Drosophila melanogaster: one gene and its partners. The gene in region 3 interacts genetically with the main gene of each other region. Each region holds a gene or a part of one and is shown on either strand. Other genes may lie near its edges.

What was found. A genetic interaction does not mean that the proteins touch.
Region 1: of awd (region 3) and sesB, changing one enhances a phenotype caused by changing the other (phenotypic enhancement), as found in Drosophila melanogaster (one study listed by BioGRID).
Region 2: of awd (region 3) and shi, changing one enhances a phenotype caused by changing the other (phenotypic enhancement), as found in Drosophila melanogaster (4 studies listed by BioGRID).

The regions. Positions count from the first base shown.
Region 1 is NC_004354.4:10,780,876-10,788,827, forward strand, and holds sesB (stress-sensitive B), read right to left. Parts: upstream 6,033-7,952; 5' UTR 5,931-6,032; intron 3,584-5,930; exon of another isoform or gene 3,476-3,583; intron 2,015-3,475; 5' UTR 1,937-2,014; coding exon 1,902-1,936; intron 1,806-1,901; coding exon 1,505-1,805; intron 1,426-1,504; coding exon 1,298-1,425; intron 1,221-1,297; coding exon 746-1,220; 3' UTR 118-745; downstream 1-117.
Region 2 is NC_004354.4:15,890,284-15,895,231, forward strand, and holds the start of shi (shibire), read left to right. Parts: upstream 1-1,916; 5' UTR 1,917-1,968; exon of another isoform or gene 1,969-2,298; intron 2,299-2,544; 5' UTR 2,545-2,721; coding exon 2,722-2,867; intron 2,868-4,409; coding exon 4,410-4,483; intron 4,484-4,551; coding exon 4,552-4,948. Other genes in the region: CG15916 (uncharacterized protein), read left to right, coding at 389-1,204. UniProt on the Drosophila melanogaster protein: Microtubule-associated force-producing protein which is involved in the production of microtubule bundles and which is able to bind and hydrolyze GTP. Implicated in endocytic protein sorting.
Region 3 is NT_033777.3:31,744,659-31,747,655, reverse strand, and holds awd (abnormal wing discs), read left to right. Parts: upstream 1-1,578; 5' UTR 1,579-1,712; coding exon 1,713-1,886; intron 1,887-2,065; coding exon 2,066-2,398; 3' UTR 2,399-2,484; downstream 2,485-2,997. Other genes in the region: nero, read left to right, coding at 181-1,089; CG1896 (uncharacterized protein), read right to left, coding at 2,535-2,655, 2,718-2,997. UniProt on the Drosophila melanogaster protein: Major role in the synthesis of nucleoside triphosphates other than ATP. The ATP gamma phosphate is transferred to the NDP beta phosphate via a ping-pong mechanism, using a phosphorylated active-site intermediate.

The sequences.
Region 1 (7,952 bases), on a different chromosome or scaffold from region 3:
GAATTACAAATACATATGTACTTTCATTGCAATAATTGGGTTCAAGTCGAAATATGAAAGATCGATATACATACATACATATGTACGTGCGCAGAAAGAAAAACACAACATTGTACTATTTTTATCAATTTTTATATATTTTTAAACCAACCGAAGTTGAGTTTGTTTGTTGGTTTGTCGTTTCGGAGGCGAAAGAATCTACAGGTCTTCGGTTCGATTCTTTGCATCCGATCGATAACACTGATTTGGCTGGGGAGATGTGGGACGACCCAGCAACATGACTGGATCTATAGTATATAGCCTAACCCAAACTTAACAATACTAATCGATATCGTCGCTATGTTCGTTCGTCTTTCAGTGTAGTGGGTCTAGTCTCATGTGCTGAGTCGCATCCTCTCTCTGCCCCGAGCATTGCTGTTTGCTGTAGTATTGTTGTTCTATTGACGCTGGCCATCGTTCCGTAAATTAGTTCCCAGTTTTTATAAATAATATAATTTCATAATTATATCGGGGTGAGGAAGGAAGGGTTCTTGCTGTTATTGCTTGCCGTTGTTCGTGGTAAGAGGTGTTGGTTGCAGATCAAACTTAGCTTATGCCTTTGCTGTTGCTATTGCTGTTGTTTTAGCTTTTCTCATTCAGTTATCTAACATAATTAGCTGGTAGTGTTTAGTTTTACTTCTTTTGTTTTGTTTTGTTGTTGTATGTTGTTGTATTTTGCTTGTTTTGAATAATTTAATAATTTAATTTACAAGACCTTCTTGATCTCATCGTACAACACAAGCACGAAAGCGCCACCAGTTCCTCTGAGAATGTTGGAGAAGGCGCCCTTGAAGAAGGCACCGGTGCCCTCCTGCTTGGCGATGGTGGCCCAGCAGTGCAGTGTGTTCTTGTAGATGACCTCGGTGGCCTTGCGACCAGACTGCATCATCATGCGACGACGCACGGTATCGAAGGGATAGGACACGATGCCAGCGACGGTTGTCACAACCTGGGCGATGGCCCAGCTGATGTAGATGGGTGTGTTCTTGGGGTCGGGCAGCATACCGCGAGCGGTATCGTAGAAGCCGAAGTAGGCGGCACGGTAGATGATGATGCCCTGCACGGACACTCCGAAACCACGGTACAATCCAACGATGCCGTCGCTCTTGAAGATCTTGGTCAAGCAGTTGCCCAGACCGGTGAATTCACGCTGACCACCCTTGCCAGTATCAGCAGCCAAGCTGTAAATTCGTAGCGAAAGCATTACGTTAGTTTATTGGACATTTTTTTTTTGTTTTTCGCAAATATACCAACATACCGAGTACGGGCAAAGTCCAAGGGGTAGACAAAGCACAGAGAGGTAGCACCAGCGGCACCACCGGAGGCCAAGTTGCCGGCGAAGTAGCGCCAGAACTGGGTGTTCTTGTCCACGCCACCCAGGAAGACCTAAGTTACACACATAATAGCAACCGGGGCGTTAGTGTTTTCCGCTCGCATTGCTAACATGCAGACTGCAAAGTCTCACCTGCTTGTACTTGTCCTTGAAGGCAAAGTTCAGAGCCTGGGTTGGGAAGTATCTGATGACGTTGGCCAAGTTGCCGCGCCAGAAGGACGAGAATCCCTGCTCCTTTGGAATGCGGATAAAGCAATCAACCATGCCCTTGTACTGCTTGTCGGGGCTGATTTGTTTCGAGATGTGCTGAACCTGCAGGAGCAGTTTCACACGCTCAATGGGGGCGACGGCAGTCTTGGAGACAGCTGCGGAGATGCCTCCGGCAGCGAAATCCTTGACGAATCCAACAGCATCGAAATCCTTGCCCATTTTGCTGTAAACACATCGTGCAATTGGCCAAAACTCTGATTAATCTCGACAGTTCCGTCATCGCTGATGGTGATACTTGGTGATACCGATGATGATATACCTTTGTGATGTTATGGATGCTGATATATTCCCCATGGCATGCGGGTGATGGTGCGTTGCATAATGGTTACGATATACGTTTACGGTATTTTTGTATAGTGGATGTACGATTCACTTTGTTTACACGGGTGCAAAAAAAGGCACAATAGAAGAATAGCCCAAAGCCAAATGAAAATGTGAAAATTTTCAATGTATTAAATTATAAACCGAAACCGAAAAACATGCACTTTTTTTTTATTTTTTTGAACAGTTATAAACCGAAACCGAAAAACATGCACTTTTTTTTTTGAACAGCACTACAAATGGTTACAAAACATTTTTGCGGGTGAAGTAAAAAGGTTTTAGCGACAAATGAAACAAATAAAAACATGCACAGTTAGTATAAATGGCAACTTAAACTTAATGCTAAAGGGGGTTAATATTGAATGGTTTATGGAAACATCAGCGTTTTGGTTACAATTATTTGTTGTTTGTGTTAGTATGCGTGTTGGCAGTTGCCGGTAAAACTGGTTTTGTGCAAAAAAGGTGAAAAGTTTTATTGGCCGGCTGGTTGCCACGTGGTGGTTTAAATCGATATAAAATAAGTACTGTTGGAAAATTAAGTTCTAACCAGTTAGCTTTGAAAACTAAGTAAAATACATGGCATTACGTGGCATACATAAATACATAAGTGCTTATCTAATTTATGTTATCTAGAGAATATGACATAAATCAATTGCAGTTCTAGTTGGATAGAGCGGCAGTCTACTGGTTTTCATTGAGTAAAGATTGGGGGATTGCATAATTGCCACACCACACAAAAAAAAAGAAAAGAATTGAATTGAAAAAGTTCAATGGAAAAAGCCAATATATATGGGCATTTGAGTGGGTGTGAGCAAGATGGCTATAGAGGCCACGGTTTTTTTTTTTGGCAGTTGGCATTCGCCATTGAAGCGCGTTTTGTTAATTTTAGACTTTCAAGAGCAGCCGCCGCTCTGCGTTAGCCGTGTGGTTTAAATTATATTTTAGCGAAATTAAATCAGCATTTCATTGACAAGGGTTTTATGTAACACACTTGGCAAAGAGAACTGTGCTTTGCCATTGTTTCGTTTCTCTTCTGTTCTCTTTCTTTGAAATAACAACCGTTATCTAATCGTGTTAGACTTTTGATTGGCTGGAAAGAGAGTGAAGCTTTTTCTTCGGCCACAGCCACAGAGAGCCGAGAGCTAAAAGGCTCGTGATGTAATAGCCTCAGCTGGAAAAATTCTACAGTTGCACGTGGAAAGCTTCCACCGAAGGCTGAGCAGTCGTAGTAGTATCCACAATCCAGTGTTAAGTTTATTCTTAATTCATTGTTATTGATTGCATAAGACCACCACCACACACCAGAAAAAAAATTGTTCAATGAATGATTCAAGTTCAACTCTTTTGTTGTTTTACATAACCAGGCAGATTTTCTTTCAATGCTCAGGTTGGATTTGATTTAAAAAAAAAAAATAATAATAAAAGCATTAGGAACCACACGCGTATTTTGTTAAATGGGCTATGGCTCAATTCGATTCGATAATTGATATCCAATTTGTTTGCCATACGTACAATTTGTATTTGTGTTTCTATATCACAGCACAAAACCGAAAAAAATTTATCCTTATTCCTCGGAAGTCAGAAGTCTGAACCGGACGGCAACTGAATTGCTTGTGAAAGTTCCTTTCGCCGAAATCTGCCAGCTAGCCTGCTCTGCCTACGTCGGCGTCGCAGTCGCCGCCATCGTCAAGTTCAGCAACAGATGAGCGTGAGCGAGAGAGGGGGAGAGCGTTCTCTCTCTATATGCATATGCAGAGTATGCGAAATTCGGAGAGAGCCGAAAAAAAACTAGCGGTTGGCAACAGCACGTGTGCGAGCGAGAGAGGGCGAGAGATCGCCGCTTATCAGTGCTGAGAATTCAAGAATTCAATGTCGCCATTCGTTGCATAAGAGGAAGTATTGTACCACACACTTGTACTCATTAGAAAACACTTTTTGTTTCGTTTTGGCCATGACCAAAAATGCATATATGGCCAATTGTTTTTCATTTACCCCTTTCGAGGTTTTCGACGGCGCTTTCTAAACGCTTGCCAAAATGAATGTACGCACAACATTTACATTTGGCAAATAGCCGACAAGTCAGCTGCGAAGCAGACGGATAGTCCCGTTTAGCTAGTTGTTAGCTAGATTTCTAGAAGATTGAATAGTGTACTTCTATTACACCCAAATACATGTCTTCCTTATTCAACAAAATTGGGGTATCTTTGATATTCAGTTTTAAGAACTACTTGGACTGGCTTAGAAAACTTCAATATACAGCAGTGAACAATTTATTCAAATACAAAAACCAAAACTATTATCAATTTTTATAAAAATAAAAGTTGAAAAGAGTTGAAAGGTTTTATTAATTGTTTGTAGCTATTTAATTGCTAAGCTATTAATAACATTTGGCTTTATTTCTAAAGATAGGGTTGGCAGCACTGCTAGCATGTGACTTTGCTTTCTGACGTCCACCTGCCGCTCTCTCCCTCTCTCTCACGCTTCGTCTCTTTCACGCAGGCGGAAGAGGGGCGGCGCTCGAAAAAAAATGCGTGAAGCGATTAGATAAACACTTCTGCTAATACAGTTAATTTATATAACTGTCTACGACACTTTTTCAAGGTCCCGTTATCACAAAAATTACATAAAAAATAAAAGAGAGCTAGTTGCCCATCAAAAAAGAGAGCGTAAAAAATGCAGTTGCAAAGTTACTGCAAAAATGCTTAATTGCCAAAATTAAACGGCAGCGAAGTTATAATTTTTATGGCTCAGTGTGCGATGAATCGGGGTTTTAGGACAGGGCGTGGATCGGCTTGAAAATCACACTGAAAATTTCCGCCGACTGGGCGAGAATTGGAAATGTGATTCGCCAGGGATATGTAATAATAAACACTAATCTCAACCAAGTGCAAAATCGCACTAAAAGGCCACACAAAGGGCTACAATAAACAATAAATCACATGAATACTATACGTACATTAACGATTGACGTCAGAAAGGGTTTAAGGGGTATGGGAATGGAATAATAATAGAAGAAATGAGAACACTGGGGAAACCCGTTTTTTTCGCATGAATTTTTATCTTTAATAAAAGAAAGCAGGTCAGAAAAGAAAGGGAGGCAACCAAAGAGAAATAGTTACATTACTCTTAAGAAATAAAACCAACTCTCTCTCTCTTCTTCACACACACACACCCGATAAGTACTTGCACGCGCAGCTGGTGTCTGGCATGGGAGTGAGCGAGAGGGCGTTAGTGGCACATGGAATTTATTCGCAACTGTGTGTTCATACACACTCATGTGCGACTGGGCGGTAGAACAATCAATTGCCACGCGTTTTACTATAGAATAGCCTGCATTTGGTGTATATAATAATATATTTGTGCAAATGCAGGCCAATTTGATTCTAGAGAAGTGCAATTCTCTTTGAAATATAATCGCAATTCATGTGCAACATTTTTTCGTACAGACGAGCCGGCCTGCCAACTCGTTGCTATTGCATAAGTTGGCAGTTCCAGCGTGGTTGCAAATTGGAAGGAAATAGATGGGAAAAAGATCCAGCGTGGCTTCTTCCATTTTCTTTCTGGGTATTCTAAATGAACTTTGGATTGGGGGTATAAAATACCGAAAAGTTTGCTAATACGCCCAATTTATTACGTGTTTAATTGATGGCAAACACAATTTCGGCACAATTATTTTTCGCAAGGGTTATGTAAGCACTTTTCGGGTATTTTCAAGTCCCATTTCGGGATTTCTTTTCGATGCAGTTAAACCGGAACTGCTTGTCGAACATACAAAAAAAAACGTTAGTTTAAACCAACACCGACACAATAAAAAAATTAGCACATTACATAACTACAGAATCTAGCGCAAGGTGACGTGAATTAATGGGTAAAAAAAAATCAATGGCAGGTACGGGGCACACCGTCTCTTTTCTTGTTAAGCAAAAGAGCCTCGCAAATGTAATAGATATAGAAAATAGCACAATACCTTCAGTTGATAACTTCTCACAAAAGTCACAGAATAAAAACTTCTTTTGCAGAATCAGACGAAGCCGCGTGCTCACTTGGCGAATGAAATTCGTAAAGTGGTGGGGGTCTCGAGGGCCCAGTGACTTGGGGATGAAAGCTGCAAAAATACCGCATATCGATAGTTGCTTTAACTGGTATTTATTCGGCGATCTATCGATATTCAGCTAGATTTCGGTTTTTATTCGTGATATTTTTGTCGGTAACTTTTGCTAGTATAAATAAATATGGCTATTTTTGATGTAATTAAAACCAGTATATTACGTTTTATTATAAAATTAAGGCAAGCGGGGATTGAAGCATCAATATCGATATTTTTTAATACCTTAAAAATATTTTTACATCGACTTTCCCATTATGTTATATTATTTTATATTATATATTATATTATTGCGAGTTCTGAATTACACAAAAGTTAAAGACTATTTTATGTTTTAATAATGGATTCATTACAATTAATCTGCACGCTTCTTTGGGAAATTAACAACGACCTGTACGACCTCCTTTTGCCAAACTATGATAAAAACTAGTTTGAATGTATTGCATTTAACGCGGTTTTTTAATTGCTCTTTTTTTTACAAAAACAAAAGTTTTCTTTTTATATTAAATCAAAGGTTTGTCCAAAATTGGAATATCTCATACCTCGTTGAAATCGTTCCAAATTCCTCATCGAACTGTATTTAAGTCTGGCAACTTTAATTTTTGGCCATTTTTTGCAAATTTGGTTATCGAAAATGAGAAAATCGGTAATTTGTCGAATTTTGATGATGGTACCCCTAATGAAAAATTGCTTAAATTGGTCAAAAAAATTATTCCTGAAACTCGGTTTGAAAGTGTTACAGATTGTTAGCAATGTTAATAAGCAACACAAAACAGTCATCGTTTTAGCTGAGCCACCTTTTTTGGCCAAGTTATTCTGAAAAATGTTTTTCGAAAATATCATATTCTTAATTTTAAAACGTTGTTGAAAAGGATAATCGCAAAACTTGATTCAAAATGCACTTCTTATATACGAAAAATCATTTATTGAGTAAATTTCTTTTCGATTTGTTTTTCACATGTTCACAAAATTGTATTTGAGTTAGTTGTATATCTGGTTTTCTAATATTTTCCTTGGCCTTGGGATACAATTTAGTAAGCTTTTGTGTCTTTTTATTTGCTGTATGTGGGTCTTGTATACGGTAATTTCGTATTGAGCGCTAGCAATATTAACATTTAGTTACACCGAAATGGGGAAAACATCTTACGCAGATTAGTATGTTATGTATACACCTATGTATATCTCTAGTTTTTGAATCAGCACCCTGGGACAGGCCAGAATACTAGGAGTTTTGGGCGTGCTGAGGGGTATGGTAATCAAATGAAGAACCCTTTCTTTTGAATTTCGTTGGTTGGACAGAGGGGTTAATTTAAAGGCAATGGTAAAGGTAAAAGATAAAGGCAAACAAATGCAAAGTACTGGCTAGTAAATACTGGGGCCTCTAAACTATGACGACACATCTAGACATCGAGTCCTATGTCCTTTACGTGGTTATCTAGATTACTTTCGGGTACATATTCCATGGCAGATACAAAACATACACAGAGTGGATATTTGATATATGTATAGTATATTGGTTATCGTGTACCGATTGTGTTAGCGTTTTGCTTGTGGTTAAAAGACAGTTATACAATGTAATTGGGAATATAGTTTTGTTTTCATCCTATTTGTGTGATTTATTCGTTCGCTTTTTTTTTGTTTATTTTTTTTTTTTGTGGTTTGTTTTTGTTTTTATTTAATTTTTTCTTGTATAGGAAACAACAAAAATGGACGCAAAATGATTGTTATAGTAGTATTCATGTTTACCCATCTTGCTTTTACGTTTAGTTAACTATATAGGAATATGCAAAACGTACACTTAATATATTTTTTTTGGTTTTGTTTTACGATTTTGTTACTATGTTCCTTATCGATCTGATACTATATAAATGCAGCTCTAAAACT
Region 2 (4,948 bases), on a different chromosome or scaffold from region 3:
CGATGTTATTCCAAATTAATAGAATATATGTTAATATTTTTATAATCTGAAACACGGAAAAGACAACAACTAAAATGCAATTTAAATTATTAAATAAAAATGAGCAAACTTGGTTATTTAAACACTTGCCTGTTATATGGCATGTTACTCTGCAAGCAACTGTCGAAAATCAACTTTTATTCTGTGAATTCTTAGATATGAAGTTAAATGAAGTGCAAATAAGCTATCCCCCAAATTAAAGTGGTCCAGAGTGCTCGAAATTATCGTCCATCTCTAACGCATTTTAAAAACGCAAGTGGCTGGTCTCACTCATGTTATTCCACATTATATTTTGTATTGCATTCTATTTTATCTAAGCTAGCAAATATATTTAAGGCAACTAGACTAAATGTTAAGCATTCGTGTTTTAAGGCTACAAAATGGACACTCCGTTCTTAACAACGCCTGCCAATTGGCACTTTCGCGAAACAAGAGCTCCAAAAGGTCGAGCAAAGACAACGTAACGCGACAGGGAAAAATATTTGGCTCGTTGTTTGGAAATCGGCTTAAAGGCAGCAAAAGCCATTGGTATCCATCGCCCGATGCAGGAACATCAGGCAATCAAAAGTCGCTGCACGCCTTAAAGTTTGGAACCCCACACTCGAAGACAACTTGCAGCCACAACAATCGACGCATGTCTGTTCTGAACAAGTTGTTCATGACGAACATCACTGATATTCTGGCCACCGGCGCAGTTGCCGATTCCATCGTGGGACACGGAGTGCAGATTTCCTATGTCAAGATCACCAGCGACTTCTCCCGCATCAATGTCTATTGGATGGGCAAGGATGGCGGGGAGAACCAAGAGCTCGAGAACACATTGAATCGCATGAGCGGCAAACTGCAGCACGAGCTATCGCAGCTCCATCTGATGGGCGAAGTGCCAAAGATCAAGTTTGTCCGGGACAAAACGAGCACTGGTCTCCATCAGGTCCACGAGGTTCTGTCCAAAATCGATCTTCAGCACAGTTACTCTAGTTCAAATGCGGAAGTTGAAGAAAGCGACGCACAGAGTTGTCAGACGGCTGCGGATGAGGAATGGCCGGAGATGCGACAGGATTTCCTCAGTTTTAACCATAGCTTAGTTATGGACAAGATTCTCGGCAAGATGCGCAAGTCCAAAGATGCCTGGGTTAATCATAGACAAAATATTGCGAAAACCTAACGTTTGTTAAATCCCTCGACTTATGTACATAATGTTAATTATTAAAGTGTTATTCAATCCAATGTAAATTGGGTTCTAAAGTTGAAAATAGGGGTAGGGTCTGTAAACGTTTAATCATTTTCCAATAAGTTTGAAATGTTGGCTACTTTTATCCCAACTAGTTCATCATGTTGAGTGGTTTTAAAATAGAGTATCGATTGCGTTTCTAAAAAAAAGCTTTAACGGCTTAAAATTGAATGTCAAAGGTCAAATCATTACCATACTCGATTATGTTATTATGCTTTTAAAGCTTGCGCACTGCATCTGTATCTGTTATCGATATAAAGCAAAAACGCAGAAAAGCCGGACATGCGCATAAAATGAATAGTTTTATAAGCTTTTAGTATTGGTTATATATTCCCTTCAGGATATGCATATTGTAGATGTGCATTTAATTTAATAAATAGATAGATAATTACTTGTAAGTTAATGTAATCAAATCAGCTGTTTTTGATAGTTGCGATAGTAGGCGACCTTGCGCTTAAATTGATATCGATGTCGGATAAAGCACTGGACTTGTTATCGAAACCAACACTTAGCTTCGGCATACGGAAACTATTCGATATATCGATGTATCGCGAGTGATTCACCCAGCCCTATCAATTATACCAAAAAAAATCAGACCAGACCAGCTTATCGGGTACAGATTGATTACTTTCTTGCATCTCTAGTTTTAGTCGAAAAAATCCATTGAAACGATTTGGAAGCGGAGTGTGGTGATAGTTGTCAGTTTTGCACAATAAGAAGAATATTTGTTTAAAAGACCAAGCCAAAGCCCAAATCGCAGTGCGCTCTTTGTGGCGATAAACATGACATCTACACTAACACAACACAGTTACGCCTGAGAAATAAGTGACAAATTGGAAAAGTCGATGATAAATTCGTTTGGGAGTATATATACAAATTATTTTCGTGTAAATGTCGATAAACACTTTTGCTCGCAAAACCCAACAATCATACCCGTCTTTACCTTCTTCGCGATTCCAATTCCGATTCCAATAAGTTTCGCTACATCGCCATTATAATCCGAAGAAGCAAGAAAGGTTATTGTGGTGGTACATACAATATATCGGGTTGGTTAATCGTGTGGGAGAATGAGTAACTCATGAGTGCTCTCCAATAACGATTTCTGTTTGCAATTTTCCCCATTCCCCCACGATTTACGCATATTTGTTATTAACCACCACCCCCACCGCCGCACACAAATTTTGTCAATTTTTTTTTTGTGTTATCTATACAAACGAAAAGAAAAGTGATGGAACGCATGAAAGTATTTATAATGCAGCAATTGTATTTTGCAGAGGAGTGTGTGCAGTGAAGTAAAGCCAGCGATTAAAGGAAACAGCATAGAAAAAAAAAAGACCCGGGAGCTGAGCAGTAAAAACACAAACATCCGGACGAGTTGGGATCGCAGTTCGATCTGATCTGATCTGATATCTAATCTAATCTAATTGTGAGGGAAATCGGACCTCGCCGCAATGGATAGTTTAATTACAATTGTTAACAAGCTGCAAGATGCGTTCACATCGCTCGGCGTCCACATGCAACTGGATCTGCCGCAGATCGCGGTGGTCGGTGGCCAGTCAGCTGGCAAGAGTTCCGTTTTGGAGAACTTTGTGGGCAAGTGAGTATCCCCCGCACGCCTTATCAGCATATTATCCTCTCATATGGGATCATACTATCATACCATATCACCCTATCAGCACCCCAAATATCTAGCCTACATATATTGTGATTGATAATGGACCTGAAGAGACCCCTCTTTGGCATGCAGCGAATCGATTTTTCTGCACGCCAGTGCTCAGCGAAAAGTAGCGCTATTCTTTCTATTATGTCTGCGTTTCGTGGAATGCCCAATTAAATGTTACTGAAAAACTATGAGTAATCGCTGATAGCACTCGCTTTCAGGCATTATTATTATTTTTTTTTTTTTTGGTTGTTTATTAACAATCAATAATTGGTGTCTACGAAACAAGTGTACTTGCTCATAATGACCAAACCATATCAGTGGTCTTAACTTAATTATGATAATAAGAATTTTATCTTTCACCTGCACAAAGCTGTTGAAAATCCAAAAGCCCCGCAGCTCTGCAAACTATATTCACAAAACGAATTGTAGAACATCTACGTATACGTATTTTGAATTTTGTTAAACAGAAATCTAAATTGTATGTATCAATGCGATTTCTTGTGTGTTTGTATCTATAAGCCTGCGCTGTCTCTCATTTTTCTTTGTTAGTGTCCACTCTAAATACAAACATATAAAGAAAACAATGGCTTACGCCCCAAAAAAATGCAGATAAGGCCAAAATGATAGTGTGTCGGCGATTTAAGTTTTTCCCCACTCTTGCCCAACGATTGAGTAGAGTAACTCACATTCTATATGTTTACTTTCGAATATATTTGTAAAAGTTTGACCTCCTTTAGAGTCGATTTATTTATTTTTCATAGCTTGCAAATAAGGGGGGGGGGGGGTGCGCTGAAAAAGAACATTAATCAATATGCCCATTCATGTATTTACAAACTGCATTGAGCCATGTAAAGTTTGTGCTTACATAAGTCCACTATGTTCAAAATAGTCCAGTTAGATTTCGCATGCGCCGTGCTTTATATGTATGTATGAATGTATGTATGTGTGTCAATTAGGGTGGTTACCCCGCCCCCCGCCCACCTGACACCACTGAGCCATCGGAGGAAGCGAGAGAGGCAGCGAGACCCACGGCCACGGCAGGCCAAAGTCTTAATGTCAATGGAAAATGAAGGCTTCTTCTAACTCTGGTCAGTGCGAACAGGATGTAGGTGACCAGAGTGTTCAAAATGACCCATTTACCATTTGATTTATTAGCCTAGCTAACAAATAGCTTTACTTTAAGTACTCAGTGGTATTAAACAATGCCCAACACTTTTGGAGTCCTGAAGTTCTCACTTGGAAATTTAAACACTAGCTGCAAGTCATAAGTTAAATTTCCATTAAGTTTTTAGTATTGGCAACTCAAATACTCATTATTCGATGCAATTTCAAAATGTTTTGATACTAGGCTTAATGCTTTCTACATACTTCTTAAGCCCAGTAGTAATATTGTTAGATGAACAGGCTCCACAATCCAAAAACCAAAGACTTCTATGATTCCATTATTAAATACAAAACGTTTTCCCCATTTTACAGAGATTTCTTGCCGCGCGGCTCTGGTATCGTAACTCGGAGACCACTAATCTTGCAACTGATCAATGGAGTTACCGGTAAGTTGAGCATTTGATATGATTAAAGAGAAGCTATCTTCTAATGCTAACATTGATATTTATTGCAGAATATGGCGAGTTCCTTCACATTAAAGGCAAGAAGTTTTCCAGCTTCGATGAGATCAGAAAAGAAATCGAAGATGAAACGGATCGTGTGACCGGTAGTAACAAAGGCATTTCAAACATTCCAATTAATTTGCGCGTCTACTCGCCGCACGTACTCAATTTAACCCTGATCGATTTGCCAGGCCTGACAAAGGTGGCCATTGGCGATCAACCGGTGGATATTGAGCAGCAAATTAAGCAGATGATATTCCAATTTATTCGCAAAGAGACTTGTTTAATTTTGGCTGTGACCCCGGCCAATACGGATCTGGCCAATTCGGATGCCCTCAAGCTGGCCAAGGAGGTGGATCCACAGGGTGTGCGAACCATTGGCGTTATAACCAAGCTGGATCTGATGGA
Region 3 (2,997 bases):
GCACAATTTGTACTCTAAACGCGTTGGCAGCGCCGTTTCATCGACTCATAGTCCATCGATAGCCACGTCATATCGATTACTTGTAGTTTTGGTATTACCAAGTACTGAGTGTATGGCCACATTGCGACACCACACGCGGCCCGTTGCAGTTTTTTATTTATAAGTCCACACCGCATACAAATGGTTTCGCAGCAGCAAATCGAGGCCATTGGAGGCGTTCTGAACAACAAGGAACGCCCACTGAAAGAGCGCTTTCGAGCCCTCTTCACGCTGAAGAACATCGGCGGAGGAGCGGCCATCGAGGCGATCAGCAAAGCCTTTGACGATGATTCGGCCCTTCTCAAACATGAGCTGGCCTACTGCTTGGGTCAGATGCAGGACGCACAGGCGTTAGACATCCTCACCAAGGTGCTAAAGGACACCACCCAGGAGCCGATGGTGCGCCACGAGGCTGCGGAGGCCATGGGCGCCATTGGTCATCCAGATGTGCTGCCAATTCTGGAGGAGTACAAACAAGATCCGGTAGTGGAGGTGGCCGAAACATGTGCCATTGCTCTGGACCGCGTCCGCTGGCTGCAGAGTGGCCAAAAGGTAGATGACAGCAACCCTTACGCCTCCGTTGATCCCTCACCGCCAACTGCGGGCGACAAGAGCGTCACCGAGCTGAAGGCCATCTATCTGGATGCCCAGCAGAGCCTGTTCGATCGATATAGGGCCATGTTCAGCCTGCGCAATCTGCGCACCGAAGAGAGTGTCTTGGCCATTGCCGAGGGACTTAAGGACTCTTCCGCCCTCTTCCGCCACGAGGTGGCCTTCGTACTGGGCCAGCTGCAAGAACCCTGCAGCATTCCCTTCCTTCAAGAGAATCTGGAGGATCGCCTGGAAAACGAAATGGTGCGTCACGAGTGTGCCGAGGCCCTTGGCGCCATCGCCACAGAGGACTGCATTCAGATCTTGAACCGCTACGCCGAGGACGACAAGCGCGTGGTCAAGGAGAGCTGCGTCATCGCCCTGGACATGTGCGAGTACGAGAACAGTCCGGAGTTCCAATATGCCGACGGCCTAGCCAAACTAGACGCGACCAAGTGATTTTCGCCGAACATTTGCATCTACCAGCTGTGTATATATTAGTCGTAAACTTGTATTGTTTTGTCACTTCTGTGATCACATGGACCTAATCTTATCGAGACATAAAAAGAAATTTGAACGTGACTTCCCTGTGGTTTTTGATTAACCTGCTGGATGGATGAATCAACTGGTGGGAATGCTGATGCTAATGAGTGCCTAGTAACTATCCTAGTTTGACGGGCATTTTATCATCAACTGTGGGCAACTCTTTGTTTTTTTTTAAATGTTTTAATGTGTCTAGTAATTAAAAATAATACTATTGAGTTTTCGTTATTTTTGCTTTAAATTATTCGATGAAATGCATTCAGAATACATTCTGAAATTCAAAGTACAAGGCGACATGGCAGCCCCATTTGAGCGGTTATAAACTGAAAAAAATATGAATACTTTAGCAATGCACTCAAATTTCCGCTTTGGAATTTAAATAACAAGTATTTTCCTATCCTTTAAATCGCCCAACAAAAACAAAAACTCAAGAACGCGGCTGGCTGCCCAGTGTGACCACTTGACGATTTCCCACAATTCACCTTGCCGGCATTTCGTATTCGGGATTTTTTTGCAACGGCGAACACATGAAGCTCCTGATGCTCGGCACAATTTTGGCATTCTTTTCTGTAATCTCGGCGACAATGGCGGCTAACAAGGAGAGGACTTTCATCATGGTCAAGCCCGATGGCGTCCAGCGCGGGCTCGTCGGCAAGATCATCGAGCGCTTCGAGCAGAAGGGCTTCAAGCTGGTCGCCCTGAAGTTCACCTGGGTAAGCGGATAATTGAATTAGGAAGAAATCAATAGATATAAATACGTGGAAACGGGTTGCCCCACGCGGGGTTGCCATCGGACCTAACCTCAAAGGCTGGGTGCAGGCGTCATCGCGGAATGACATGTGTTTAGAGGTCAGAACTGCAATTAACTGATAACGAACCGTTTTGTAACCAGGCCTCCAAGGAGCTGCTGGAGAAGCACTACGCTGATCTGTCCGCCCGCCCCTTCTTCCCCGGACTCGTGAACTACATGAACTCCGGCCCCGTGGTGCCCATGGTGTGGGAGGGTCTGAATGTGGTCAAGACCGGTCGCCAGATGCTCGGCGCCACCAACCCCGCCGACTCGCTGCCCGGCACCATCCGCGGTGACTTCTGCATTCAGGTCGGACGCAACATCATCCACGGCTCCGATGCCGTCGAGTCTGCCGAGAAGGAGATCGCCCTGTGGTTCAACGAAAAGGAGCTGGTCACCTGGACCCCGGCCGCCAAGGACTGGATCTACGAATAGACGGCTACTTTAACTGTCTGCCCTCGTCTAAGCTGAATACAGATTGATTCTTCTAAAGAAATAAAATTCCACAATAATTACTATATAATCTTGCTTCTTTATAAGGAGTGTGAGCTTTGGAAAGGTTTCTATGATATTAAGTTAAGGATAGTCGATAGCCTATCCACTGAGCTGTAGGCTTTGTTGGCGGTAGCACCCATCCTCTGGGTATAGAGGAGCCTCTTCCACAGTAGCTTATGTAAGAATCCCATGTGGAGCTGGAAAAAGCGATGCAATTAAAAGGGAGCTCCCGCCGGACAATGCATTTCCCTAGACATACCGAATTTCAAGAAATTTCCCCTTATTTAATTTGGGAGTTGGCAAGGATCGGCCGAAGAACACAGCCTTCCATTGAGATTCAAGTGAAGCCACCTTCTTGGACTCCTTGACATGGCCAGCTTGAGTCTCTTCTTGGACTCTGCGCCAAACAAGACGCATGTGGGTCAGTTTTTGGCAAAGGGCGGCTCTGTCTCCTCCACGAGACTCGCAAAGTTTCTCCAGAAGATCAAAGGTCTCCAAAATGGAGGCAGCATCGCGTTGTTTTCGCAGGGATATGTGCT